3 linked regions of the Oreochromis niloticus genome follow. The protein of the gene in region 1 purifies or fractionates together with the protein of each later gene. This does not show direct contact. Links are inferred from orthologs where the notes say so. Each region holds a gene or a part of one and is shown in the gene's direction. Other genes may lie near its edges. The genes, in order: stk25b, fgfr1op2 and sike1.

What was found.
Region 2: the proteins of stk25b (region 1) and fgfr1op2 purify together in Homo sapiens (affinity purification with mass spectrometry; 5 studies listed by BioGRID and IntAct, with this or other methods). This does not show direct contact. The link is inferred for Oreochromis niloticus from reciprocal best matches to the Homo sapiens genes STK25 and FGFR1OP2.
Region 3: the proteins of stk25b (region 1) and sike1 purify together in Homo sapiens (affinity purification with mass spectrometry; 4 studies listed by BioGRID and IntAct, with this or other methods). This does not show direct contact. The link is inferred for Oreochromis niloticus from reciprocal best matches to the Homo sapiens genes STK25 and SIKE1.

The regions. Positions count from the first base shown.
Region 1 is NC_031982.2:10,565,588-10,576,178, forward strand, and holds the start of stk25b (serine/threonine-protein kinase 25), read left to right. Parts: upstream 1-6,682; 5' UTR 6,683-7,060; coding exon 7,061-7,090; intron 7,091-7,800; coding exon 7,801-8,031; intron 8,032-8,129; coding exon 8,130-8,186; intron 8,187-8,302; coding exon 8,303-8,411; intron 8,412-9,724; coding exon 9,725-9,882; intron 9,883-10,007; coding exon 10,008-10,193; intron 10,194-10,591. Other genes in the region: mitochondrial fission factor homolog A, read right to left, coding at 1,532-1,702, 1,839-1,930, 4,208-4,386, 4,569-4,785. UniProt on the Homo sapiens protein: Oxidant stress-activated serine/threonine kinase that may play a role in the response to environmental stress.
Region 2 is NC_031981.2:34,716,652-34,726,371, reverse strand, and holds fgfr1op2 (FGFR1 oncogene partner 2 homolog), read left to right. Parts: upstream 1-5,862; 5' UTR 5,863-5,976; coding exon 5,977-6,001; intron 6,002-6,981; coding exon 6,982-7,118; intron 7,119-7,296; coding exon 7,297-7,414; intron 7,415-7,553; coding exon 7,554-7,696; intron 7,697-7,780; coding exon 7,781-7,894; intron 7,895-9,243; coding exon 9,244-9,381; 3' UTR 9,382-9,711; downstream 9,712-9,720. Other genes in the region: med21 (mediator of RNA polymerase II transcription subunit 21), read right to left, coding at 3,551-3,665, 5,626-5,709. UniProt on the Homo sapiens protein: May be involved in wound healing pathway.
Region 3 is NC_031984.2:27,969,955-27,980,069, reverse strand, and holds sike1 (suppressor of IKBKE 1), read left to right. Parts: upstream 1-5,856; 5' UTR 5,857-6,105; intron 6,106-6,177; exon of another isoform or gene 6,178-6,193; 5' UTR 6,194-6,196; coding exon 6,197-6,355; intron 6,356-6,535; coding exon 6,536-6,641; intron 6,642-6,713; coding exon 6,714-6,856; intron 6,857-6,983; coding exon 6,984-7,097; intron 7,098-8,598; coding exon 8,599-8,718; 3' UTR 8,719-9,487; downstream 9,488-10,115.

The DNA.
Region 1 (10,591 bases):
TGTAAGTCGGACTTTTGTGCTCTTACTGGGAAGAAGAGGATTTTTCTCCATCGTCCGGCGTGAGCAGCAAACAGGCCTGCAACAAGTGTGAATGTGAGTGTGTGTGGGGCCCATGTGTGAATATTGTATGTTTAGTGGATTTATATAACGTGTTTTGGAGTGTATATTAGTGAGTCACTTACCAAAAGGTGATAACATAAGTTGGGTTGTTTAATATAATTTGAAAGGGAATTATTTCATTTATACAGTGCATTTCATTTGGTTAAGGAATTGGAATATCATTTGAGTTTAAAAAAGGGATGTGTTGTACAGTATTTGTCTCTGCCCTTACGTTCAGTAAACGTTTCGTTTGTGTTAAAGAGTTGTGTGGGGTCGTTTCTTTACTACCGGTTAAGTTTAACTTGTGTGTGGCAGAAGTATCGGTTTTTGTACTCGGTATCGGCAAGTACTCAGATCCAAGTATCGGTATCGGATCGGTTTGAAAAAATTGGTATCGTTGCATCCCTAGTGCCTATGGAACTGGCAGCTTGCACATGTGGAAAGACACCATTACAGCTAAAAGGTATATACAGGTATTTGGGCAACATGTGCTCCCATCCAGATAATGTCTTTTTCAGAGAAGGCCTTGTGTACTTCAGCAAGATGATGCTAAACCAGGGTTGAACTGACTGGAAACATTTGGAGCATCATGAAATGAAAAATATGACACAGGAGACCTGGGATTGCTGAGCAACTAGAATCATCTATCAGACAAGAGTGGGACAACTTTCCTCTCCCAAAAGTGCAGTAACTGCTATCCTCAATCACCAGAAATTTACATGCTGTTGTTAAGAGAAGAGGGGATGCTACACAGTGATAAACATGACCCTGTCTCAACTGTTTTTTTTAAATGTGTTGCTGCCATCAAATTCAAAATGAACTAATTGTGGCAGAGGTGTGGTCCCCCTGGCTCAGCTGCAGGGAAGGGATGGTGCAGTGAGCTCAAGGGGGAGCGCAAGAGAGGCTGGAGGGACAGGTGAAGATTATTAATTTAATGAGGTCTTCTCTTCTTTATAGTGACGTCAGAGACCAGAATGAGAGAGACGCGTGTGAGAGGTCAGGTGAAAAGCTGAACGTGCTGGGACGTTGGCGCCAAAGCTGATTGCTTCTGCGTGTAGCACAAATAAAAATTATAAAGAGCTATCAGAACGCTGTGTGGGGTCTGAATTATTCACACTAATGTTTTTTCTATAATGGTACATATTCTAAGTTTCAACATTTAAACACACATGTTTGAGATTTTCAAGTCATTGCATTCTATTTATTTATTTATTTATTTGTTTATAATCCATGATTTCTTTCATGTGAACTAAAGTCACCAAACATGTAGGTTACACATCAAACAAAGGGGGACGTACACAAGTCAGGACTGTGACATATGCAAGTTTTAAATGTCACTTCTTTTAATAAGAAACATTAACACATCTTTCTTTATGCAAAGATTTGTAACTAATTCAGCCAAAAAAGAAATTAATAAAGAAAAAACACATACCTGCGATGGCTGTCATCAAGGACTTCAAGGACCTGCTGGTAAGCACGGCGTGTCGTTGACTGGATGTACGACAGGAGCCCAGCAGCTGTAAACAGGTTGATGTTTACATCCTCGGGGGAACAGAGGGGAGGACACAAACGGACTGGGGGGGCAGAAGGGGAAGGGGTTACACTGGCAGGGAGATAAGTGGGGAGAAACGTTAAAACAAAGAAGACATGTTTTATAAATCAACCAAGAGTGAAAGAAAGCATTGCATCGGAAAGGCAGCGGTGAAGAAGCAGCGTTTCAAACGTGGCTATGCTCATACCTTACATCGCCTCTGCTGATCTGACTGCTGTGACGGCCGGATACGTTCTCACTCGCGCTGCGCTCCCTTCGAGGCCGACCATGAAAGTTGGCCTGTTGTTAAACACAAAATTGAAATAACATCAAGCTCGGTTTGCAGCAACACGTGTTTTCTATATTGATGAATCCCACTTAGTTCAGTCAAACTGACTGGAAAAAGAAATCAGTGATTTTGGCCACTTGATTGAAGTTTTTCCTACAGAAGAATGTGCGATTATTAATTACTTTTCACCATTTACAAATTGATTATTTTTCAATTGTGTGTTAAGAACCACAAACCATACTCCACAGAGAGATCAGAATGGGAAGATGTGCAGCATTGCACAAAGAGACTTCTTAAAATTAAAAACATAAATAATCATGTTCAGTTTTCATTGCGTCTCATAAATCCCACAACTCCAGGCAGCTTTTGTAAGAAAGGATCAATATGTTGGGATAAAAAAAGCAACACCTTTAAGACCACCATCAAGGAATATCTGAAATGGTAATCCTAATAAAGTAAAAATAATGCTGTGTATACTAGTTGCTGCTCACTTATTCATAAGGAGTTGCCACAGCAGGTAGGTCTGCGTATCTGATTTATCCTGGTGCCTAAACCCTTGAGACTCTGTTGTCTACTCACAGGTTCAAACGGGGTAATTTATGGTACTGCAATCGTGTCCTTTTTGCATTTAGCATTTCTCTAAAGTTGGGATTTGCGGGACTCTTTGACTAAACAACTAATCCTCACTATTATCACAAATCATTATCAGACGTACTAGTAGTATAATCTAAATTGTTTTAAATTTTGATTGAAGCCAAATGCCGGTAAATTGCTATGCAGCCACCTGCCACCAGAGGGAGCATCATTGTTGAGAAAAGCCGTAAATCTGTTCATCATGGCCTGATCTCTTTGTTTACACTGTTACTGTTCTTTTAAAGGCAAAAGATACAAGCGGTGGAAATGTGCCCTCTCCAAAAGGTCAGTGGGCACTTCCTTAGCAATAGAGTGAGGAGTTCAGTCATTTGGGAGGGGCTCAGAGTAGAGCCACTGCTCCTTCACATCAAAAGGATCCAGCTGAGGATGATGCCTCCTGGGTAAGGTGCTCTGTTGGTCATGTCCTACTGGGAGGAGGCCACTGGGCAGAACCAGGACCTGCTGTACAGACTATATTTAATCACCTGACCTGAGAACAACTGGACGTTTCCCTGGATAAACTGGAGGAGAGAGGGAGGTTTAGGCTTCCCTGCTTCGGCTGCTGGCCTCGCAACCCTACTTCAGATAAGCGGGGGAAAAGAAAATGGCTGGATTATTTGTTGTTTTGTTATTTTAGATTTTAACTTTTACTGAAGTGGTTGTCATGAATTTTTGAACAGCGTGCATCATTCATAATGCTCGACAAAATGCACCACATTTTTCAGTTCAACTCCTTGGTTTTTCTGTTGTTAACTTGTCACATTTAATAATATGTGAACTTGCTTTTGTAGTAACACATTTATATACTATATTTAACATCAGTTTAAGTGTTTTTCCTTCTTCATTGTCTGGTGTGTAACATGCAATGTTGACAATGCACAATGCCCGTACAATTCAGCACCGTTATTCATAAATCAAGAATATGATTTATGATTTAAAATTCTTTTGTTTAGAGAGTTATAGACCTTAAACAGTTCTAAAATATAACTTGATATCTGAGTGTTTCTTAGTTTTATATGAGTCAGTTAGTCTAATTTTTTTCCCTTGTTTATTCAACTGAGAAATTAGTTGCCAGGAACATCCCTACCCTAGAAACAATGTACAAACATGTGTGCAATCTTCCAAAATCCCCACTGCATTACTCAAATGCTGATTGACTGACAAGTGGGCCAGAACAGGCAAGGGAGTGGCAATGGAGTTCACCAGGAATGGGAGGATAGTAAGAGGGGAAAAAAAAAAAAAAAAAAAAAAAAATCACAGATCAAAAGATAGCTCATGAGAAGTACAGACAGTGGGTGCAGTGAATATGTTACATTGTTTAACACTCACTTCAGCTCTTTGTAGATTATAACTTCACTCTACTCTGCAGCTGGCTGACATACCAGTAACAGCACAAGCAAAAGTACCCCACAGACCGGTTGTACCACATACTTTGTACAGTGCCTCTATCGACAACAGACACTCTCTGCAAGTAGACAGGCCAACGGAGTGCCAGCATACTCCCAATGCACTAACACTGCTGAACCATAATTTCAGGATAAGGCAAATGTAGTATACCACCACACTATGGATCCACTTAAAGTTTTGAATATAATGAAAGAAGAAAATTCAATATTCTGAGAAGGAAGTTGAAATTACTCTGAAAGAAACCATACCGCTTGGCTGGGATTGCGCTGTGAGTTGACAGTTTGGTCGGTTTCAAGAGAGTCCAGAGGCTGCTCGGTAAGGGTGAGGACACGTGGAGGGGCCTTCATGTTCAGGAGGTCCGCAGGAGGGATGGACTGAATCAGATCCAAGTCTCTTGGACATGCAAATCGAGGATCCTCGTCATCACCTACAGAAAAAAAGGGGTCATGAAATTTTTATACAGCATATGGGCCCATATGTCATGGTTTCCACTTTCAGCTGTTAACAGTTGTTTCCCTTAATGTACTACTTTTTTTTTCCTCACCAAATACTTGATATACATGATTTAAACATAATACCTGAAACATGACTGCCAACTGTCATCCTCACCTGCAACGACGATCCTCTCAGGAACCTGCATCAGAGCTGTATGAGTGGGCAAGGGCTGCTGAAGTGGCATGGACCCTGTTTGGCTCTCTGGGGCCACTTTGAGGGTCTCTGGGATTCGCATGCGCTGGCTGATGCCCTCTGTATACTCCAGCTCAAAATGGATGCGATTCATCTCAGCCACCTCTACAGAGGGGGTAGTGAAAGTTGCCCCACTCATCCAGCTGATAACCCACAAAATGGGAAACAAATGAAACTCACATACAGATATTAACCAAACAAAGTGAGGGTGTGAGTGTGACTGTCTCTAAGAGTTCAGAAATATAAGCTCAACTTAATGCCCCGTTTTAAATAAGACATTTTTCATATCTTGGCTGATTTTTTATGACATGCCAATTTACAGTAAAACACATGCTGCAGTTAACCCTGAATTTAGCCAATTAGCTCAGTAGCAAATGGTGCTACCTAAACTTTAAACACGATCATTAGCCCGTGCAAAAGGCATCTGCTCCAGTGTAAGGTAGTGAGTTTAGGTTCAAGCTAATGAGTACAGTACAAGAAATAGCATTTCATGTTACATAACAGCGACATGAGGTGAAGCTGTTGCTGGCAAGCCGCTTCAATGTCACTGAGTGAAAATCCACGCAAGACGCCATGTCTAGCTTGTATGTTAGCTATCTAGCTTGTCGCTATGCTTGACAATCGTTTAACAGACGATGCTATCCCTTTTAGCTAATTAAACAGTGCGCTGTAAGCCGCTGACTGTCTGCACTAACATGCTGGTAAACCAGAGGTCTGTCCTGTCAATACTCACCGTTATGGTTTTACCACCAGGGTTTAAACTGACATGCGCCAACACGCTGTTCGTGCTGTCATACAAACAACATCAGGGACTCCACAAACCACCCACCGAGACGGACTCAGCGAAAGCTCTCTACGCTTCTAGCTAGTGTGGGTGTAGCTGTTAATACTACCCCGCGTGACCGCCGGGGCGGTTACTATGAAGTGCACCGCCAGCCGCAAGAGTTGGTGAAACGCAATGGACACTTTAAATTAGCAGATTAACGAGCTTTATTTACGTAAGTTGGTTGTAGTGTATTTTATTTTTATAGTGACAGAAGTTAATTTGTCTGAACTGCAAAAATAAGATGTTTTTCAAATGAAAGTAGCCAACGTCACGGGAAAAAAGAAGGCTGACCACATCCCAACAAAGTGTGGGGGGGTAAAAAAATCTGTTTGTGTGGGGCACACTAGGGCCGATTAAGATGCGGGACATTGCTTCAGTGTCTGGGTTAAAATGCACCAACCGGCCAGTCGTTGCTGGGGTGTTTTGGTAGCTAGATGGTTTACTTCGTGTGCAGGTTTAAAGTCTGATGGAAAGGAAAATTGCATTTTAATGAAGCTGGACCTTTTGTATTGTAGATATCAGCAGTTTGTGGATGACGTCTTTAGGTATAATGTCTATGTATGACAGCTTGTGCACAAAGTTTTGATTAATAAATAAAAGCAAAATAAAATGTAAACACTCAAAAGATGTTTGAATGTCTTGTTAATATGTGTGTTGACATCCTCTTTGTCCACACTATCCACTGTGCTCAAATTTATACTATTATAGCTTCATCACAGAGACAAACACTAAGATTTACTCCCACATAACACTTTGGGTAAATCCAACCACCAGTTGTCTGCATCTGCTTAATTTGATTTGCCTTAATTTGAATTCCCAGTTCCTCTTCTATCAATCATACGGAGAAAACACACACAATCATTTCCACAAAATGTAATTTAAACTTATTTCAGCTTTAAATTGAATTGAACTTGTTCATTTTCTATTTTTGTATGTAATGAATCCTCAGTGGTGTTCTAATGCTGTCTGGCAGCATGTATGGTATTATGTGATGGTAGTGATGTATATATAGTTAGATCTGTTAGAACTGTTTTCAACGAGATCACGTGTTTTTGTCATTTAAAATTGTGAATGTAGTTTTATTTTATTTTATTTTTTCCGTGTACCATTTTCAGTACAGGAAAAACTTGAAAGGTTTGAAGAAACATGTCTCTAAAGCATGTAGAAATACAACTCCCACAATTCAACGAATTAAAAAAAAAACTTCGCGCATGCGTTCTCGATCTGGGCCATTATTTTGTCCTCCTCAAGCTTCAATTGAACAACGGGCTAAGCGCTTCTTGAAATGAATTAATTATTAATTCACGGAAAGAGCTATTTTTCCCCTCTGTTTCGGACCACCGATACTCATGGAGTCTCTCGGTCAGTAGCTCGGCTGCTCAGTCCTCCGTTTTACCCGGAGGCCGAAAACAGTGCGCGGAGTGACAGCCCCGTTAAAGCCAGGAGACTGGGTGTTTATCTAGTTGGCTAGCCAGCCTAGCTAGCTTCCTAGACAGCTACGAGGGGAGGAAAAACCCGAAAGGACAATTTATTGACTATTGGAAGACAGGACTGTGGCCGTCCCTCTCCCGTCCAACCAGCCGAGGGGATGGCACACCTTCGAGACATGCAGAACCAGGTAGAGAAATGATCTTTTCTCCAACTGTCACCTCCCTGCTTCTTATCCAAGACAAGCCGAACCCCCGATGCTTCTCAGGCTTTCCATGAATAACCTGGGTGGTGGGCTAGGCCATAAAAGCAAGTGTTAGTATCCACAGATGTGAATTTATGTATATATAATGTTCTTGCCGGTGGCGCAGTCAGGTGTACAACTGACAAAGCCATCAACAAATGACAAATATGTAATAATAATCTCTGATCTTGTATGAGTGTGTAATAACATTTTATTTTTTCAGAGTTGGGCTTTTAGAGTTGAGTCTTAATTACTAAGATACTCAATATTTTTTAAACTTAGTGACTTCTTTGAAGGCGTCTTTGTTCGCAAATCATTGCTCATTTCCTGCTGTTATGGAAAGACAAAACCACTGAACTTTCAGGAGTCACACTTCTTAAATTACATCCTGGCACAAAGCTCGATCTAGAGTCTAGGTAATTATAAAGGGATGTGACTGAATAGATGGGCACTGGCATAGATAAGAAGGTTAATTATAAATCATATTTTATATTTGGGCAGTGCATGCAAACACTATAATATGGAGATAAGGGACAACTGTGAACATCTCTTCTGTGTTGAGACTCGCCCACTCATAAACACACACATTAAACTACGGGGGGCTATCACCGTGGTATATACTCTGTACTTAAATCCTTTTGCTCTCACTGGGCCAGAATACTCGGTTGGACCCTGAGGAGTACTTCACCAAGCAGGAGCGGATCGGCAAGGGTTCGTTTGGAGAGGTCTACAAAGGCATCAACAACCGCACAAAGGAGGTGGTGGCCATTAAAATTATAGACCTGGAGGAGGCAGAGGATGAGATAGAAGACATTCAGCAGGAGATCACGGTGCTGAGCCAGTGCGACAGTCCTTACGTTACAAAGTATTATGGCTCATATCTGAAGGTGAGATAATGTAAATACTGAAGTGACACTTGCAGAGATGATTAAAGATGCAAACACATGCAGTGGTTTGTTCCTTCAATTGTTTCCTCCTGCCATAGGGAACAAAGCTGTGGATTATCATGGAGTATTTAGGTGGAGGATCTGCTCTGGATCTAGTAAGTAGATTTCTATTTTTATGCAGCTTACAAAGTTTTAGACAACTCCTCCAATAGTGCACTTTTCATACTCGAGAAGGAAAACTCATCCTTTTGTCGCACTGTCACCATCCTAGCTGCGTCCAGGGCCTCTTGAAGAAACTTACATTGCTACTATACTGAGGGAAATACTAAAGGGGCTGGAGTATCTGCACTCTGAAAGGAAGATTCACAGAGATATCAAAGGTAATGAGCACTCACTTCAATCTTTACGGTGTTCGGTCCTTTTAAATCAAACTGGTTCATTTTATCCCTTGGTGAAGTTTGTTTGTGCAGATGTGAACCGAGTTATTGCACTCGGGCACAGACCAAAACAGCCGCACATAGACCCTTTGGAAGAGGTTGTCTTGGTGCAGTTCTAAATGAACTCAAGAATAGTTTATTTATGATGTGAATATGTTCCTGGTAGTCGACCCAAACAAACTACCAGGTTACAAGTTTGAGATTTTAAAAAAAAACTTCCTGTAGGTACGTATGCTGTGTAGTCAGGGATGCAGCAAAGTACTAGAGTTGTGCAAAGGTCTGTATGGGCTAGCAGCTATCCGTGAAATGAAAGTAAATTTTACGTATTCTCCAATAGTCTAGAACACAGCACCTTCTTTCTATATTTACACATCTGTCCAGTGAGCGGACTGAACATCCTGATGTGTTTTGTTTTTTTTTCTCTTTGTGAAAAGATACCAAATCATAGGGAAGAACTCCAAGTTTACAAACTCACCAACTATACCAGAGAAAACAAACTATAGGTGTGAACAAACCCAAAGAGTCTCATAGCTGTCAGCTAACACAGTTGTCAAGCTCTACGCTGGTACAAACTCGGGTATAATTCAAAGCTGGTTTATAGCGTACGCTCTTGTGAGTACAAGACTCAATGCTGTGATCCAACGTTTTATGTCAACAACTGAACGCTGTGATAAGAGAGCTGCTGCACAGCCAGCCTTAACCAGATGCTGCAGAGAAGAAGTGCACACACTGAAATATGCCAACAAGCTGTGTACATTTTTAACACCATCTGTGAGCTCGAAATCTCACAACATGCTGCGTGTGCGAATTGTATACACTTTTACATATTCCTGTGTGTGGAGCTTTTTCTGCTCTCTTCTTTCCTTGTTATGAAAGAATGTAACACTTTGTAATTAAGTAATCGCACAAATAAGGAGTTTAAAACTTGGGTGTATTACTTGGTGGGGTGGATTTATTCTCCGTATTATTTGTGTTCTTGTGCTGATTTTCTCCTTTTATCTACAGTTCCTTGTGAAATTGAATGCAGCACTCCAGTCTCCAAAATCTAAAATTAATTATTAATTCATTTTAGATTTCAAAATTGAGAGTTGGCCTGAATAAGCTGTAACAACATTGTTACTCATTATCTCAGATGTTCTGGCCTCATCTTATTTTTAGCACGTTATATTAACCAGACTGCTGTAACAGATACAAAAAGCAGACCCAGATACTTTAGGTTGTATTTTAACTGTCTGTCTTTTCTGCCTTTCTCCCAGCTGCCAATGTGCTCTTGTCAGAGCAGGGTGATGTGAAGCTAGCAGATTTTGGGGTGGCGGGACAGCTGACAGACACTCAGATCAAGAGGAACACATTTGTCGGCACGCCTTTCTGGATGGCCCCAGAGGTCATTAAGCAGTCAGCCTACGACTTTAAGGTGAGCAAACGTTTGTGAACAAGCTGTGTCTACACTGAGAGCATGAAGAGAGATCATTTTGATGTTAACCAACAGGAACTGAATTTTGATGCCTCAAACAACTCTTTATGTCTTTACCCTCCCAGGCTGATATCTGGTCTCTGGGCATCACCGCCATTGAGTTGGCCAAAGGGGAACCCCCCAACTCTGATCTACACCCCATGAGAGTCCTCTTCCTAATCCCCAAAAACACTCCACCCACATTGGAAGGCCCTTACAGCAAACCCTTTAAAGAATTTGTAGAGGCTTGTCTAAATAAAGACCCCCGTTTTGTGAGTAAAACACCAACATACATCAGCATCATACATCTGGTAATAACTGCTGCACTGAGACAAATTGAACATGAATTCTTTATCCTACCAAGTATTTTGGATTAGCATGTCCGGTCCTTAATAGGAATTAGAGATTGTTCTGGTTGTTTCTCAAATATTCCAACATGATCCAACGTGTGCTCTTGAAAGGCGCCAAAACCTTTCTGAGTAATTTGACACTGAAGCTTGCTTTAGCCTGTGTTTGTAGACAACAGCACTCCAGCTTCAAAAAACTATGGGCTGTGTGATATTACCCTTGGTTGTACGATTTTATGCTCCTCATGTTTTTATTCACTACAATATAAAGCACCTTGAGGCAACAGTTGTTGTGATTTGACGCTGTATAAATGGAATTGAAT
Region 2 (9,720 bases), on another chromosome or scaffold:
CTGCATTTATGTCAGTTTGCATAAGATTTTGTCCATGTAGCCTGATAACTTTGGGTATGCAACCTCTACAGACATGCTTGTGTGCAGTGCTCCAAGAGATCAACAGCACATGTAGCACTGGCTGACAGTGATAATACTAGAAACTAATTTGCTGAAAAGTTCACTTTAACAGGAAAGGGAGTAACAGAGGAGTTCACCACAAAGAGGAAACAGTGGCAAAAAATAATCAACAATAAAAAAACCAGCATGAGAAACACAGACAGTGGATACGTAGAAAATTTTCAATACCGTGTTCCATTTCACTGCAAAGAAGTTATTTTTATATTACGACATATCTTTTCTGTATCAGGGTCGAAGTTAAAGGAGAAACTGAACAAATGCAAACAAGTCTAGCTCTCAGACTGTTCCACATAATTGTTATACTGCCCTCTGGTGACAGCACACAGCTATGACATGTACCAACACACAGCTATACTAGGCTGGGAATCACCAGACACCATTTGATACCACAATTTTACAATATATTACTGTCATTTTCAACATTATGGGATATGCTAAATATTGCAATAACATATAGTACAATTTATGTCCTCAAAGTTAAACTTTATCAGTATCTGTTTTATCCAATGAGATGACGTAATCTCACTGCAAAATGAGATTGTCAAGCATCCCCCATCACTGTTATTAAAAACTGCCATAAATGTTACTATAAGATGGAGTCATTATGACTGATATCAGTCTGAGGTTCGATGGCTCAAGTTGGCAATTACATGCAATCTGTTTCTGATAATGTTGAGCTGGTTACTGTGTTTGTTGGATTCCAAACATAATGAAGTTGCACAGTGACCTCTGGTGGAGAAGTTATGCAACGTCACCATCTTTGATGAGTGTTTCTCTCATCTCCTCTTGAACTTTAATTTTTTTTTATATTTATCCATCCATCTTCATCCGCTTTATCCGAGGCCGGGTCGCGGGGGCAGCAGCCTAAGCAGAGAAGCCCAGACCTCCCTCTCCCCAGCCACCTCCTCCAGCTTATCCGGGGGAATACCAAGGCGTTCCCAGGCCAGCCGAGAGATATAATCTCTCCAGCGTGTCCTGGGTCTGCCCCGGGGCCTCCTCCCGGTGGGACATGCCCGGAACACCTCACCCAGGAGGCGCCCAGGAGGCATCCTTGTCAGATGCCCGAACCACCTCAACTGGCTCCTTTCGATGTGGAGGAGCAGCGGCTCTACTCTGAGCCCCTCCCGGATGGCCGAACTTCTCACCCTATCTCTAAGGGAGAGGCCAGCCACCCTTCGGAGGAAGCTCATTTCTGCCGCTTGTATCCGCGATCTCGTTCTTTCGGTCACTACCCACAGCTCGTGGCCATAGGTGAGGGTAGGGACGTAGATCGACCGGTAAATTGAGAGCTTCGCTTTTACACTCAGCTCCCTCTTCACCACGACGGACCGGTGCAGCGTCCGCATCACTGCAGCCGCAGCACCAATCCGTCTGTCGATCTCCGGCTCCCTTCTCCCATCACTCGCGAACAAGACCCCGAGATACTTGAACTCCTCCACTTGGGGCAGGAACTCATCCCCGACCCGGAGTGGGCACTCCACCCTTTTCCGGCTGAGAACCATGGCCTCAGATTTGGAGGTGCTGATCCTCATTCCCGCTGCTTCACACTCGGCTGCGAACCGCTCCAGTGCGAGCTGGAGGCCTTCACCTGATGAAGCCAACAGAACCACATCATCCGCAAAAAGCAGAGATGAGATTCTGAGGCCACCGAAGTGAAAGCCCTCCGCCACTTGGCTGCGCCTAGAAATCCTGTCCATAAAAATTATGAACAGAACCGGTGACAAAGGGCAGCCCTGGCGGAGCCCATCACCCACCGGGAACAAGTCCGACTTATTGCCGGCAATGCGAACCAAACTCTTGCAACGGTTGTACAGGGATCGAATGGCCCGTAGCAATGGGCCAGACACCCCATACTCCCGCAACACCTCCCACAGGACACCCCGAGGGACACGGTCGAATGCCTTCTCCAAGTCCACAAAACACATGTAGACTGGTTGGGCAAACTCCCATGCACCCTCAAGTATCCTTGAGAGGATAAAGAGCTGGTCCAGTGTTCCGCGACCAGGACGAAAACCGCATTGTTCCTCCTGTATCCGAGGTTCGACTAACGGACGAACTCTCCTTTCCAGCACCCTGGCGTAGACTTTCCCAGGGAGGCTGAGGAGTGTGATCCCCCTGTAGTTGGAACACACCCTCCGGTCTCCCCTCTTAAAGATGGGGACCACCACCCCGGTCTGCCAGTCCAGGGGTACTGCCCCTGATCTCCACGCAACATTGCAGAGGCGTGTCAACCAGGACAGCCCTACAACATCCAGAGCCTTCAGGAACTCGGGGCGGACCTCATCAACACCAGGGGCTCTGCCACCAAGGAGTTGTTTAACTACCTCAGTGACCTCGCCCCCGGAAATTGGCGGGTCACTTCCCTCATCCCCAGACTCTGCTTCCTCCTCGGAAGACGTGTCAATGGGATTAAGGAGGTCCTCAAAGTATTCCTTCCACCGCCTGACAATTTTCTCAGTCGACGCCAGCAGCGCTCCGCCAGCACTATACACAGTGCAGGTAGAGCACCGCTTTCCCCTCCTGAGACGCCTGACGGTTTGCCAGAATCTCTTCGAGGCAGTCCGAAAGTCTTTTTCCATGGCCTCTCCGAACTCCTCCCACACCCGAGTTTTTGCTTCAGCCACTGCCCGAGCCGCATTCCGCTTGGCCTGTCGATACCTGTCGGCTGCCTCCGGAGTCCCACAGGCTAACCAAGCCCGATAGGACTCCTTCTTCAGCTTGGTGGCTCCCTTCACCTCTGGTGTCCACCATTTGGTTCGGGGATTACCACCACGGCAGGCACCAACTACCTTGCGGCCGCAGCTCAATGCAGCAGCTTCGGCGATGGAGACGCTGAACATGGTCCATTCGGACTCAATGTCCCCAGTCTCCCTCGGAATGCTGTTGAAGCTCTGCCGGAGGTGTGCGTTGAAGATCTCGCGGACTGGGGCCTCTGCTAGACGTTCCCAGCACACCCTCACTACGCGTTTAGGTGCACCGGGTCTGTCCAGCGTCCTCCCCCGCCACCTGATCCAACTCACCACCAGGTGGTGATCAGTTGACAGCTCAGCCCCTCTCTTTACCCGAGTGTCCAGAACATATGGTCGCAGGTCTGGTGATACGATTACAAAATCGATCATCGACCTGCGGCCTAGAGCATCCTGGTGCCACGTGCACTTATGGACACTCTTATGTTCGAACAAGGTGTTCGTTATGGCCAAACTGTGATTTGCACAGAAGTCCAATAACAAAACACCGCTCGGATTCAGATCAGGGAGGCCGTTCCTCCCAATCACGCCCCTCCAGGTCTCGCTGTTGTTACCCACGTGAGCATTGAAGTCTCCCAGCAGGACAACAGAGTCTCCCGGTGGGGCACCTTATATTTATCAGCTGATATAAAGTGACATAAAAACGATGGTTAAAAATAATGTCATAGTAAAAACACACAAACCTTCTGTTGGGTTTGCTGGTTGATCCTTGTTGATAGCTGTCTGGATGTTACTGAAGGATGCAGGAGGTGCACATTGTTGCAGAACGCCGATAGCATTACAAAACTGATCAGCAAGCTGGACACACAAAACAAAACCAGTAATAGGTTACGCTGTTATTTGAACAAGACACTAGCTGCTGCTGCTGATAACATAAACTTCAGACAAAAGAAATTTAAAGACATTTCTTTCATCAGTTTTACCAAAGTATGTTTTTTTTTTTAAAATTATTATTATTATAAAATATAGATATTTAGTTTACCAGTGTCAACCATAAGGCCCGGAGACCAGAATCCAATTTTACCCACTGTAAAAATGTGAAGGCATGCTTAAGTTTTGGACTTTTAACTGTATTTTCATAAGTTTTACAGCTTCTCCTGAAGATAAAACCTCCCCCAAATAATGAAATGAGAGAAAGTTCATTTTTTAAACTATCTACTATAGAAATCTGTGCTTTTTACAATGGGGTCACATTACAAAATATATTATTACAGGACAGTCTACACAACAAGCCAAAAGAACTTTTTCTGTTATTTTAGTAAGTAAGTAAAATGTATTTATATAGCGCTTTTTAAAACAGGAAGTTTTTTCAAAGTGCTTCACATGGGAATAAAAGCATATCAATCGATACAATAAAACACTATAAATAGGGTATAGTAGCATATCCAGTAAAACAGTTTGCTACACATGAATATTACCTAAATGCCTGTCTAAACAGATGTGTTTTGAGCTGTTAAAAGTAGCTACAGAGTTGATGGTGCGTAGCGGGTGAGGTAAACTGTTCCATAATATTAGAGCCAAGGCTTGAAAAGCGCAATCCCCCTTCGTTTTCAAACGGGTCCATGGAATGGTTAGAAGACCACTATCAGTGGATCTAAGGATCCGGTTTGGAGAAGCTTAGTGATATAAGTGGGGGCCTCACTTGTAGGCACATGAATGTAAAAGTGAGGATTTTAAACTGATATCTATACTCAACCGGAAGCCAGTGCAAGGATTTTAACACAGGGGTGATATGGGAGAATTTATGACTGTGGGATAAAAGCCTTGCTGCGGCATTTTGGACCACTTGGAGGCGATTTAGGGAAGCCTTAGACAGACAAGAAAAGAGTGCGTTACAGTAATCTAAACGAGAGGAGATGAAGGCATGGACAAGCATCTCCAATTTTACACATTTATTTCCTACAATTTAAGCCCAACAAGTCACACTGACAAACTTTTCTTTATTGTGTAGAAAAACTATATTACAATGTCTCAGGGATTAAATGTGTAGTTAAAGTTCTGACTGTAAGTGACAGAAAGGGTAGTTTCACTGATTGGCCCAAAGTGCATAGTGTGTTGTATGTAGGCCACCAAGCAAAAGGAGAATGACATCCCTGGTCTAGAACCACCCTTAAATAATTATTATTATTATGTTTGTTTGTTTGTTTTGGAAAATGACAAATAGGTGCAGCACTTTATTGAAATGGGAAAAAATATGTGGAAATACAGTATGTAAGGCAAAAACAGACTTTGCAATATTCTAGCAAGCTGGTACAACATGAAGGATCAAAATCTGACCTACTTTTCTCCATTCGTAATTCCTTTAAGTTCAACTTCTGTTCAAGACCACTGAAATAAATAAGAAAATTTGGTCCCTTGCAAGCCAAATATAGAGAAATTACTTTTGCATGTTAAATACTTCTGAATATCAAATGTTGACCCTCTGGGGTTACTTTCCCACGTTAGTTTAGTATTTTTCTTTTCCAAATATATTTATTTTGTATTATTTTGTTCAAGGAAGCTAGCCAAAACGACGTTTTAACACTGTAACACTTCGTTGTTTAAAATAACTGAGCTGGTTTGGTCGTTTCGTAACACAGGCCTTTAACTATACTTGCTATAATGGTTAGCTACCCCGTGTTGTTCACATGTTACTAAACTACTCGAGCCACTGGTTTGCGTTAGCTACCAACTCTAATCGACATGACGATGCATTTTATATATTTTTTTACACCTCCTTCTACCAAAGAACGTTTAAGATATTCAACATTTGCCTTACCGAATTGACTGCGTCTTGAAGTTGTGTTAGCCGGTCCGCCATATTGTCTGTTTCTGACGTAACTGTCGCGAGAACATAAAACATCTCGCGGTATATTCGGTATTTTGGGAACCTTGGTTGGCAAAGGTTGGGTTACTTACTTTTACCGTCTCACAACTGGGTTCACAGCAAACTTGAAACGCGTTAAAAATCGATATTTTCATATCAGCGGAGGTTATCTTCTATTTTAACGAGGAACGGATCTTTATTAGACCCTGTTTGTGGCTGCTTTATGAGGACTAATGTTAGCCTTTAGCTAATATTAGCTACTAAACATCAACAGGAAGTAGCAGCGGAGTTAACGCAATTCCAATGTCTTGTACTGTGGCTTCCCCAGGTATGATCATTTTTGTTTCTTTAATTCATTATCTAAAATTGCATGGCAACACCGATTTGATATACGCACCCGTTTATAATGCGAGCATGTAAGTGGATTTGCATGAAAGCTTAACTCTGATTAGTAAGTTGGCTAATAAGTGAGCCCAGCTTGTGTGTGTATGTATGTATGTATGTATGTGTTGTTAAAATATATTTTACGTTGTCAGCTTACTGAATTTGGAAAACTGAGAAACTAATTCCCTTCACGTTTTATATAGCTGAGACGAATGTGCTTCAGAAGTAATTATGTAAAGTGAATCTGACGCCTAAAACACGCAAGGCTTGCTCGTAATAAGCGAATTAGCTGACACAGCAGCTGTAATGACGAGTAGGTCGAGGAGGAGAAAGCCTAGACACAATGTCAATGAATGATTTTTAGCTGGTATTTTGAAGTCAGAGCTGACGCTTCAGTTGAGGTTACTTCTTGGTTTTCAGATATTTTTAAAATTATATAATACCAATATCGTGGTGTTGTTGTTTGATCAAGCAAAATAGATCTAGATCAAGCATTTCTGATTTAAGTCGTGTTTAAAACATATTAAAGTGATTATCATATAGAAAAAGACAACTTTTATAGAAAAAGGCTGCTGTAACATATTGCTGCTTAACAGCAGCAATAGCTTGCAAAAAGCCACTGCATCATGGTATATACATAGGTTTTTTTAGGACTGTTCAGAGTTCCCAGAAAACTTTCACTTGACTGCAGCTGCTGTATGTACAGATACAAAGTCAGCCTACCTTTAAATAAAGAAGCTATTTTAATAAGATATAATTCAATAGTGTCAGTCATCACTATAATGAATAGCTTGCTAATGGATAATTGCTTTAACCAAATGTAATACTTAAGGGAAGAAAAGAAGGATTGACGAGGTGGATGACTACTATGTTTGCAAGCAACCTTGTCCTAGCTCCTCTTAAGAATCACTTGTATTTCCTCAGGCATGAACTGTACATTAGAGAAGGTCCTGGCAGATGCCAAATCATTAGTGGAAAGGCTTCGCAACCATGACAACGCTGCTGAGATGTTAATCGAACAGACGACACATCTCAACAAGCGAGTAGAGGCCATGAAACAGGTAGGGTGTCACATGAACTTGGGGAAATGTGAGGCCTAAAGCATTTGATGTAGAATCCATGAAGTTTATTTCAAAAGCTGGAATAACACTTTTTAAAAAGTATTTTTTAATTGTTATGATGATCTATCATTTTATATTTTAGACTGAAGGTTTTTCTGCTTGTTCTTTTTATTGATAGTACCAGGAGGAGATAGACGCCCTGAACGAGGTTGCACGGCATCGGCCTCGTTCCAGTCTAGTCCTGGGAATCCAGCAGGAAAACCGTCAAATTAGGGAGCTCCAGCAGGAAAACAAAGGTAGGCAGTTTCCTTTAATGTCAACTCTTCTGTTGAGAGATCGGATGGCCGGTGCATTTTTAGTTTTGCTTTGATTTGTGGAATATAAAGCCGGAATTTGATCCTTCCCGTAAATCAAACTTGTTCATACTTCATGTAGAGCTGCGTACATCATTGGAAGAACATCAGTCTGCCTTAGAGCTCATCATGACCAAATACAGGGAGCAGGTGTTCAGACTTCTCATGGCCAGTAAGAGGGACGACCCCGCCATCGTTACCCAGCTGAAGGAGCAGCACACTACGGTCAGTATCTGGTGCAAGTACTTTTAATGTATTATTTTGCTTTTTTTTTTAACTTTTCTTGTGCATTAAAAAAAATCTTTGCAGGAAATGCAAGCACACATAGACAAGATCAACGAAATGGCCTCCGTGATGAGGAAAGCCATAGAGGTGGATGAGGAGCGAATATGTGAAGATGAGGAGAGGATTAAACAGCTAGAGGTAAAAGCCGAGCAGCATTACTTCCAATTGTTCCAAAGCTTTCAGACCAGGGGAGGGTACAAAAAATCCACAGAAGTTACAAATCAACCCAAACAAATGTCTGTTCATGTGACACCGAGGATCACAAGTGTCAAAGAAATTGACACTTGACACAAAGGCCAATAAAAGTCATCAGTGGAAACCTAAATGATCAAGGCTCTGAGGGGTGGAGTCAAAACTGGATCACAAGTCATAGTTAAAAATGTTCATGTGCTCCGTTATTTATTTATTTATTTATTTTAACAGTATATTCAGTGTGAGTTTGGAGTTTAAAAATGAACTAAAGCTTCATGTTGAGTTGAGATGTCAAAGCAGATCTTAACAGGGCATTTAAATTAAAAATTAGCCTTTTTATTTACATTTCCTCCAAGCTTTATTTTTTTCCTTTGACCTACTTTGTCATTTAGACATCCTACCTCTCTATTTTCATTAGGTTAAACAGATATATTTGTAGGCTTTTTGACCTTTACCTCTACTACTTGAAATTATCCATAAATCCCATAAAAGTTAGATTTATGTTACTATTTAGCGAACTAGCATTGCTAGGTGGCTTTAGCTTTTGACAGTAAGAACCATTAGTAGTGTTTCCACATGTTAACCACCAGATGTCAACAGTGAGCTTTTGAACTCTTAACTGTTTCCAAAGAGTCGTCCTACTGTAACTGTTTGCTTTATATTTTTTGATTTAAAATAGTCCCCCGATCCTTGAAATGCCCAGGCAGAAACTCTGATTACTACTGTGATACTTTTGGCCCTTCATATTAACATGCTTGGAAACACAAAAGAAAAATCAAATTTCCACTCTGTAACATGTACTGTAAGTGATTAAAACCTCATAAACCCATATTTTATTCACAGTAGTGAATAAGTAGCATTTTAAGAAAAACAGTAGCTCATTTGGAACTTAATACTAGCAATAAAAAAAAAAAAATAAAAAAAAAAAAGTTGGGATGGGGTAAACAAAAAGGAATATTTTCGGTTAACTGGCATAAAGATTAATACTCAACATGATTGGGTATAAAAAGGCATTTTAAAGAGGCAGAGTTTCTCAGAAGTAAAGATGTGCTGAGGTTCATCAATCTGCAAAAAATTGCATCTGCAACTTGTGGAACAATTTCAGAATAACATTTGTCAACATATAATTCTGAAGACTTTGAATATCTAATTATCTTCAGCTTGATAAATTCAAAGGATTCTGAGAATTTGGAGAAATCTCTGTGCTCAATAAAATTTGGGTTTATGGGATTTGCAAATCATTCTGTTTTTGTTTGCATTAAACACAGCATTTACATTGTCTCCGTGTATTTCAGCTGGAGAACAATGGACTCCGAGAGCTGCTGGGAATCAGTCGGGAAGCTTTTCTGGTTCTGAAGAGAGACGACCAATCAGACAGCACGTCGCTGTCGCCACTGCTCACTAGTGCCGACGTGAGCTTACGAAAAAGTTAAAGCCCAGGACGGCCCACCAAACCCCCAGCCCCTTACTGCTGCCGCTGTAGGGTACAGAGTCTACAGCCTGTTACCACGTGACCGCTTCAGATGTTGAGTCTCCTGGTGCATTTAGAACATCGCTGCTCCAGACCTGCATCCCTGTCTGATGATTCGGGCAACAAGCAGCGAGCCACCCCCCCTCCCTTTGTTCTTTTTCTTGTTTCTTGGTACTGCTGTAACATTTTGTTCATTTTGGCAGCATGCACGAGCCCGCAGTGCCTGCAACATTTTAAGGTGTAAATGAGTAAACGAAGGGCTTGAGTTCAAATAAATCTGTAAACAAGAAAATTTGTTTGT
Region 3 (10,115 bases), on another chromosome or scaffold:
GGTAGTACTAGAGCGCACTCATACAGGAACGGATCTACAGAGATCTACACTAAAAAGATATTTAAAATAAATTATTGGCACAGACGGTCATGGGAATGATTTAAATACAGTGCTGCAATTTAAAAAAAAAAGAAAAAAAAAAGAAAAGAAAAGATGGAGAATCAGAAAATGCAAATGACAGGTCAAAGAGCAGTGCATCTACAGTGGACAGGAAGTTTGTGATGGATTATGAGTAATGGGGAAGAGGGAGGGGATCCCAGAGCAGCCTCTTGCTAGCCCCTGTCCTGCAACTATCACGACGAGCTCCTTATGACACAACACAAACGTACATGAATCCCCAAAGAGAATTAAGGGCTTTGGTCCAGTGCTGATGGATGAGTACTGTAAATACCAGCTACTTAAGATCAATTTTCAGTTTTCCTGAGGAACAAGTATCCACCTTTTCATGTGGTGCTGGACTTTGTGTGTAGTTATGTCGAAGTGCTAATATTGTCCATCTTGAGTCACTGCCCTCCCTTTTACGAATCCGAATCTTAATCGGGGAGGGTACAATGTTAAAAAACAAAACAAAAAAACAAACAAACAAACAAAAAAAAAACATTTAAAAAAATTAAAAAAAAAGTGCTCGTTTACATCAAATTTCGGTCGTCTAGTTGGCAGAACACCCCTCACCCTGCAAGAAAATAACTGAGTAGAGGCTAGTCTTGGGAGCCTGAAAAGATGAAAGAAGTTATGCCATTCACAGCAAAGATGCGGGGCAAGGTGGGTGGATGGGTGCTCGATGGGGTGGGGCACGTAGAAAGGTGGGAAGGTGAAACTTACGGATCGGCCATATGGCGACAGGCTGAGTCCGACAGGGGAGGTGCTGCTCAGGTCAGCGCTAACAAACGCGGTGGGTGGCGACGCAGGCAAGGTAAACTCAACAAAGCCTTTCCAGGGGCTGCCCATATTTTCCCATAAACTTGAACAAAACTTGCTTGAGCACTTGCTGAACTTTGATATACGTTTTTGTTTTTGCTTAGTGTTAAATACTATTCTTATGCAACCACCCAATGATACACCGCTGGATGTCTGCAAGGGTGAAGAGAGGAACAAACATAATAGGTAAGGCAGGTCAGCCAGTGTGCCAAGTGTCACAAACAAAAAGGAAAATAGCTGCAGGCTTTAATCCCAAGAGAGGATACAAAAGGGGGGAAAGGGGAAAAAAAAAAAAAAAAAAAAAAAAGTAGGGGGGGTATGGCCTGAGAACGACAGAATAGGAAGAGTGTGGATCAGGTAAGGGAAGGCAAGTAAATCATTTTCAAACAAAACTGAATGACTAGTTCAAGTATTTGGAGGTGGTGGTGGCTCAGTGTGCAGTGGTGCTGGCTTCTTTCACGTTTTCAGAATAGTTATCTTTAACAAAAGGACAATGTAGAGGTCACTAAGATCAAATCAAAATTTACATTTCAAATCAAAATTTTACACCAAGTATCACTTCCTGCACTCACTCCACCAAAAGGATGTGATGTCACATGGAGAAAGCAATAAGTATGCAAGATTCAAGTCTAACCAAGCACTGCAGTAGCTTGGAACTGGCTGCTGCAAACAACAGCTTAAAATATTGGCCTACAAGTAGAGAAATTTAAATGAGGTCCAATAAAAATAAATAATAAGTCCAACTTTGAAAAACAGAACGCATTTGTGTTTAGTGACTGAGGGGAAAAAAAGAAAGAAAAGAAATATAAATAAAACATCATCCTCGGCATACCACTGCACTGTTTTGGGGCAGTAAGTGTTATACAATCTGTTTTTAAAGCATGTGTGAATCATGTAGTGCATCTATCAAATGCAGATTCTGAATCAGATACCAGTTTTATAAAAATATTAAAATCCAAAAGAGGGTACTGATAATGCAGAGAGGTAATGATGAGCAAAACGTGTGGCAAAACCAGAAGTACATTTACAGCCATCATAAACACACTATGAAGGGCTTCAACTGACTCGAGACCTACCTTTATTGGTCGCCTTGTGTCTTTATCTCTCAGGATTTTGATGAACTAGCAGTTTTTGTGGACCTCTTCACGCACACAGTTGAACACGCACACTTGTTACAGTTTCTGGCACAAGTTCTAGATCGTTGCATAAAGTAAAAAATAAAAAAGGGGGGGTGGAGATAGAAATCTAGAGCAAAAATAAAACAAAAGGCAAAGGCAGGTGCAAAAAACACTGCTCAGGAAAAAGGAGGGGAAAAAAAGAGGGGGTAAGTTGGGGAAGGGAGCTATGGGAGTGGGGAAAAGGAAAAAAACAAAAACAAAACAAAAAACCAACAACAACAACTAGCAGATAGCAGCCCACTCCACACCCCGGTGGTGAGTCGGCGGTGTAGTGAGGATGAGGAGGGCTAGGAGCAGCGTTGGGACGTGTGCTTTGTCAAAGCTGTTGAGTAGGCACAAACTTCTGGTTTCAGATCAACTATGGTCTTCTCAGAATATGCTTGGGCGCAAGTTTGCTTCTCTTCCACTTCGCAGTTGGGATGATGTGCGTATTCTTTGGTCGTTTCAGGATTTGGTTACTTCTTGCGTTTAAATCCTTGAAGTGATCCTTTTTCACCAACGCTTCTTCAGTGTTGACTTTGTTTTGGGAGGTTTGTCTTCAGTTTCTTTGATTTGATCTGAACTTGAAGCAGTTGCGGATGGTACAAAAATTCAGTTCGGTTTCACTTCATACTGTTTGAAGGGGGATGAAGAAAAAAAAGAAGATCTGGTTAGATGAAAACTTATCACCAACTCCACTGATCTAAATTTAGGTTAAATACAAAATGGCCCAAGGGCTCCATGAGTCTGGAGTGAGGGAGAAAAATTAGACTGTCAGCTAATATGACTATTCTATCACACGAAAACAAGTAAAAACCCCAAGCACTGGCAGCCTGAGGTTTTTTGGGAACATTTGATTCTTTAGTCACACTCAAGTACAAAAATAAGCTTTCCTCAAATGCCTCTAGATACAATGCTAGGCAGCTGACAAGTACTGTGGATCAACAAGTCCTTGTGCATACCTTCAGTTCAGGCTATGTTATTTATGGCAACATTTCAGACTAAGGCCCTCTGTTTCATCATTCAGCCCCCCAGTTGTTCTGCATGCACACAACCTTACACATTTTTAGAGGGGCTAATCTGGCAATCAAACAAAGCATTGTAACGTGTGTATGACCTCTCCCCCCCCAAACATTTTTTTTCCAGAAACTCCAAGTAACATACAGCACACCAGAGCAGGATGTTGTTGACCTAAATACCCTGCTCTGAAAACAAGATAGCTGAGCCAACCAAGGACACATGATATCTATTCTGCTGTGACTATGTCGCAATGTCTCCCTTCTTACATCCCACTAGGTTAGAATATGAAGTTGTTAAAAGGCTCAAATGTGATTGCTACAAGGTTGACTACGTAAATGTATTAAAGGTTATGAGCCAGGAACCGAAGACAGCTTCTGTGGAATCCACTTTCGCCGGATTTTTTCTGCTTTTTATTTCGCAGGAAATGAGAAAAAAAAAAATCCACTCACGACACAACTAGCAGCGATTGGCCGTTTTAGCCATGGTTTTTTTTTGTTTGTTTGTTTGTTTATTTGTTGTAAAATTGGGACCAAACTACAGTTTGAGCTATTTGTTATTTAATAAACATGAGAGGGAAAGATACCTCTTATGATTGGACATTTATTAAACGACAGTCTTTTCTCTGGGCAAACAAAACAACCGCCCCGACAGGAACCACCATGTGACTTCTCAGCAATCCGCTATCCTCAGCTGGAACAGCCAACATGGCCTGATCCAACACGTTGCGGTATGCGACGCCATCGCGAACGGCACGTCTAACCAGTCGATGTCAAAACATACAATAAACTATAGTTCGTTAAAACCTCGTTACTTTAGTTCTTTTTTGCTCATTAAGCAAAGTAACCCGCACAATCACATTTAAGGATGTCTTATTGACCTTGTGTGGACAAACAAAACCTGACAGATTAACATTTCGCCGATGCTAATCGTCGTAAACAGCTACTACTCCGCTGTCTTTAGCAACACTTAAAGAAATTCTTCATCATTAACTTAACTAAAACGCATTCAGTTCTTTTGTAATTACCGGATGACTTAAATCCTGTGCAGCTTGGAGTCCTTGAACAGAAAGTTTGCTAATGGTAATTAAGCAACGGTTCAACGTTGTACACTGTACATAGAGATAGCATTTCGACTTCTCTTTCACATTAATGTTTAATGTGGTTTCGGACATCAGTCAAAATATATAGAATTTCTATGTATTAATTTAAATGGGACTGATTATAAAGAGATTTTTTTTTAAACTAGCAATCATATTATAAGGGAGACGTTTTTTAGAACTGGATCGTATCACACGCCAACCTGCAACACGGGCTATTTAGGCTAAACGGACAATAGAGTTAAGAACAGACAATGCCAAAAGTGACTGCCGACCAGGACAGTTCTTTAAAAAGTACTTATAATTATGTACATTTTAAATTTCTTGCCAGTCAAGAACAACGTTAAATATAAACACTCAGTTTATTCATTTTTTTTACGTCGATAACGCAATAATAACATTATCAGCGTTAACGGCACGAGGACGGAACAACAAAGAAGCTAGATACAAGCCTCGTGCTTAATTCTATTTAAATGCCATCTTTGTATCTAAAGTATACCATATCCATTTTACACACGTGCTTTTTCTTTACCAGACTCTAATACGTCTTAGAAAAAACATCACGCGCCTGTTTATTTATACCTTCGACAGTATAACTAGGCCATTGGCAATGCTAAGTAGCTAGTAGCGACTACGGTTAGCTAGCATGCCGTTGTACTCCTCGGCCCTTGTGTGATTTATGTGGAGCTGTAACAAGGCAGCCCCCACCCAGGCCCGAACTGTGCGTACGACTAAGCGCTGACTCACCAATTCACCTCTAAGTACTCACTGAACAAAAAAGAAAACTATTATTGATATATTACCAGTACACGCTTAAATTGTTCTGCTAAAAGGGATAAAATATTAAAAACTCACCCCAACAGCTTTCAGCACTGTCACCAGCGCCGCTAGAAGCAGCACGGCACATTGCGTAGAGATAGGGAGGCGGCTACCGCGATATTTGACGATACTAGGTAGACCAAAGATCCTAAAGCGAAGAGTGGCTACGAGAGGCGCTGATAAGAAACCGCCTATGTGCCGCAAAGGGACATGGGAGGCATTTGCGTTATAGTAACGTTAACATTTTATCTACCTCGCTGTCTAGACTGGAAAAAAGATATGTACGAGTAATCTAGTCGAGTTCAATAAATAATAAATCCATTAATTATTTGATTAATGAGTAAATAATAACTATCATGCCATTTAGTAGATAACTAAACTTAATAGGTGTCGCCATAACTAAGTTTTCTCCCCATACGGGAGGGTTTCTGAGACTACACGTTGCACAAAAACCCAACATAGGAAAATGTAACATAATGCTTCAGCTCAACTCAGCCCTTCACTCACTTTGAAATTACCCGATACTAATATTTTTTCAGCACTGTAAGTGTTTTACGTTACATTTTTACTTGAAATGCTGATAACTTTTAAAATTATGTTGTTGTTGTTGTTCATTTGTTTAACATACAACTGTTGAACAGTGAAGAAACAATATCCTTTTTTCTTTTCCTTTTTTTTAATGAGACGCTGTTGCGTTATGTAAAGATATTTTAAAGACCAATAGGCTTGATAGGTTTAGCCATTAACCCCGCTTTTGGTTGTGTGCCAAACTTCTACACCGCACTCTACCCCAGTAGGTGGCGACTCAACGTTAGTTTGACAATTCGCCAAAAGTAGGAGGAGAAGAAGAAGAAGAAGACGACGACGACGAAGAAGAAGAAGAAGAAGAAGGAAGTGTCGCTAACACTTTAGTTTTACACGGAAACGTCAGTTTCTGAAGCAGTAATATTCTAGTAATGTAGTAATATTTTGATCTGGGTGTCTGGTACTTGCACTGTCTGCCGACACAACATTAACGTTAAGTAGCGAAACAGTAAGGATATTTATGTTTCTATAATGGCACCGAGCTGCCTCGGCTAAGGTTATATAGCCCAGGTAAGCAACGGCTGTGAGTTGTTTTCGCTCTAGCTAGTTTTGTAGTAGCTTTTTTTACCTAACATAAAAAAGAGCTGTCACTTTCCAGTAAATGGCCTGCACTTTAGAAAAAGTGCTGGCCGATACTCGGACCCTTCTCGAGAGGCTAAAAGAGCACGACACAGCCGCCGAGGGACTGATAGAGCAGTCCGAGGCCCTAAATCAGAGAGTGCAGGGCATGAGAGAGGTGGGAAATGCTCTGCCAGACAAGGTAAACTCGAGCAGATAGCTCACGCTTATGAAAAGCTGCACTACTGCTTGGTATACACATTGAACTAGTTAAACAGTGACCTGTACTACAAAGCGAGTTTCCCTCGTATCTAGAATATGCTTTCGTGATATGCGTTCGCTAAAGTCTTCTTTATCTGTTTCTTCTCTGCTCTTTTCTCAGCACACAGATGACAGTTCAGAGATACAGGAGCTCACGAAATACAAACCTCATGTCCTTCTGACTCAGGAAAACACTCAAATCAAGGAACTGCAGCGGGAGAATAAAGGTAAAAAAAAGGTTCTGCTGACTGACTGGCTGGTTTTATATACTAGTATTAACACTCTTTATGCCTTTGTAGAACTATGGCTGTCTCTTGAAGAACACCAGTACGCATTGGAGTTGATCATGTGTCGGTATCGCAAGCATGTGCTCCAGTTGATGATGGCAAAGAAGGAGCTGGACACCAAACCTGTGCTCAGCCTCCATGAGGACCATGCCAAAGTACATCAACTCTGCATTTCTTTAATTTGCTCACACGTTTAATGGGCTATGATTCCAAATACATAGACACACAAATTAAAAAATAAAAAAATAAAAACAACAAACTTGATTTCTGACTCTTTTCCAGGAAGTGCAGAGCCAAGTGGAGCGGATATGCGAGATGGGCCAGGTGATGAGAAGAGCAGTGCAGGTGGATGATAAGCACTATTGCTGTGTTCGAGAGAGGCTTGCTCAGCTAGAGGTGAGAAATGCAGTTATACATGGACACAATGACACCTTTCCTCATGAGGTCTGTGGAAAAATATGTGATTTTACCACAGACCTCAGACATCAGCTTCTGTGTCAAAATGACGGAACGATAATAGATGATCATAACTGCAAATGAGAGCTGAGTTGTCAGCTAGCATCAAGTTTTTAGTGGGATGGTTAGGTTTAGTGCATCAGGTCAAGGAGCATGTTGTTTTGTTTGGGGTTTTATTAGGTTTGTTTTTTTATTACAGTCAAATAGGTTGTACAAGGGTTATAAAAGGGCCTTTTAAACCAGTCGGTTATATTTCTTACTGTAGCATCTTTGTGATAACCTTTTGTGAGCTCTCTAAATATGCTACAACTGTAAAGTTTGTTGAAAAGGTACATTTTCCCAAACAGTAACAAACGTGTATTTAAGAATATAAATGAATAAAAGCATTCAGAACAATAGCTATCTTCCCAGGAGTGGCTGTTCTAGCAAATTCAGCCACAGACTGTGTAATGCTCATGGAAATGGCTAAAAATCCAGGAGCTACAGCTCAGACTCTACAGGGCTACGTTAGCAAGTTAAATGAAAGGGGGGGAAAGCCTCTTCCCTTTAAAAAGAACAAGGCAGCATTGTTAGTTTTGCATAACTGCAAGGCATAAAGTTTGTCCTTTGGACAGACCAGACCAGTGTGGAAATGTTTGGCTGTAATACACAGCAGCTCATTCAGTGAAAACTGTCAAACACACTGGTGGAGCTGTGATAATTTAGGGCTTGTTTTGCACCTGAGTACCGTGAACTCTTTGAATCATCCAAAAATCCCTCTGCGTACCAAAGTATCCTAGAGTCAAATGTGAGGGAAGTCTGTCTGACGGCTAAAGCTTGGTTGAAACTGACTCATGAAGCAGGACAATGATCCCAAACACAGCAGCAAATCTGCAGCACAATGGCTGAAAAAGGAAATCACAGCTTTGTAATATTTCAGTCAAGGGCCAAACCTCAACTCAGCTGGAACACTCAGGTGGGATCGTAACGAATAATCGTGATCCTCAATGTGCTGAAGCAACATTTGATCAGACTTCCTCCATAATGATGGATGAATAAAGTTGTACACGGGTTTTTACACGATGCTTCTTTTTATTAAATAAATAATGACATGTTTTATTGTTCATCTGGGGCTGTATTTAAATAATTTTTGTACCTGCTACGGAACTGATGATTTTTTTTTTTCTTATTAAGTCTTATTGATAAAACCTGAGAAATAAAAGAGGGTGTACTTTCTTTTTCACGTGTCTGTATTTGCTTTGGTTATCTGCTTCACCCAACATTGCCAAAGTGCAAAAAATTCTATCACAAATAAACAGAAACACTATTTAAAAGAGAAGATGTGATGCATCCATCACAATTTTCATTCAAAACCTGTATGCACGGGGAAGCACATGCATGTTATAAGGAAGAGATATTTAACTATAAAAGTTATGTTTGAACATTTTTTTTCTACCTTCAGATTGAGAACAAGGAGCTGCGTGATCTCCTGGAAATCAGCAAGAGCTCTGTGAAGACAACTAGCCAGTCACTAGCAGCAGAAGAAGGAGAAGAGTCTCCTCTGCCGGGGTCCACCGAGTGACCTGAAGTACAGCTGGGATAAAGTTCCACAGAACCAGGAGAGGGGGCTGATTGTGTCTTCACCTGTGTTCACCACCACATTATAGATATTGTTATTTTAATTTTATTTTTTTACATGTAACGAAATGCAGTCCAGCATGAGGTTATCACTCACAATACACATGTACTGCAGCAAAGGCAGTAAAAGCAAAGGGGATTTCTTTAGTTTTTAGCCAAAGACACTTTTATTCTCCAAGGATACAGTTTCTACCTCTTTGGTGCCCCTTTGCTGTTCACACACACAAACTTTTACAGTGAGTAAAGCACCCAAAACCAGCCCAACCTTTGAGTTCACTTGAAATCTATTAACAAGCCAACTTGTAGTCCACACCATATAAGAAGCTGTGCTTGCTGCCAATAAGATAACTTTTGGCTGTTTTAAACTTTGCCTGCTGAGGAGTAGCAGTGGAACCTTTGTTGTTGTGATGTTTTGGGTTTGATATGGTTGATTGTCTCAATATAAAACATGGTTTTCATGTTTTGGTACCTTAATTCTGTGTGTTAGACACAAGTTGTACAGTTTGCCGATTCAGAGTATTGCGTACCAGCTAATGGCACATCTTTGTTAGTGAGAACACTTTCAAACATGCCAGGGTTTTTTTGTGTAATGGATACCATGTTTGTACACTGTATGTTGTCAGAAACTGTATTTTGTCGTCTTAGGAAATCATGTTAGATGACTTCACGACAGTGTACTGATTTGTGTCAAATTAAACTCAGAAAGTTTGCTATACATAAAAGCGTGCCTGGTTTTGTTTTCTTGTTTCCAAACTTTTTTACTGTACAGCTTGCTGGATGTATGGACGAAAGTGACTTGTTTGGGATAATCCTTTCTTTACCGCAAGCTGGCGCCATTCAGTTGTTGGGGTATAACCTATCGCGAGGTTTGCAAGAGTTTCAATGCTGCTTTCAAAGAAAAGACGTTACGGGATTTTCTTTAGTTTTTTAAATGTTTCCTCCTTAACATAAGTTCTGTCAATACACCAAGGCGGTAAAGGGTGAATGTTTAAACTAATTACTTGTAAAATCATAAAAATTTTCAGTGCAGTCTTTTATTCTTCTGCGTTTAAATCGTAACCCTAGGGATATATTTCCGACAACACGTGAAAGCATCACGCAGAGGTGCATTTGCTACTTCTAGCCTGTCACAAGCTAATGTTCAGTATGTCTGAGAAGGAGCTGGGGAAAAAGTGGGACCGATGCTTAGCAGACGGTGCCATTAAATTAGGTAAATATGCTTCGGTTTCTCAATCGTAACGATATTGTCCTGTATCAAAACAAGGGTCACTTAAGAAGCAGTTTATATTGAAGTCCACAGCTGTCATTGACTGGGCGAGAGGCTAACTAGCTAGCCATAAG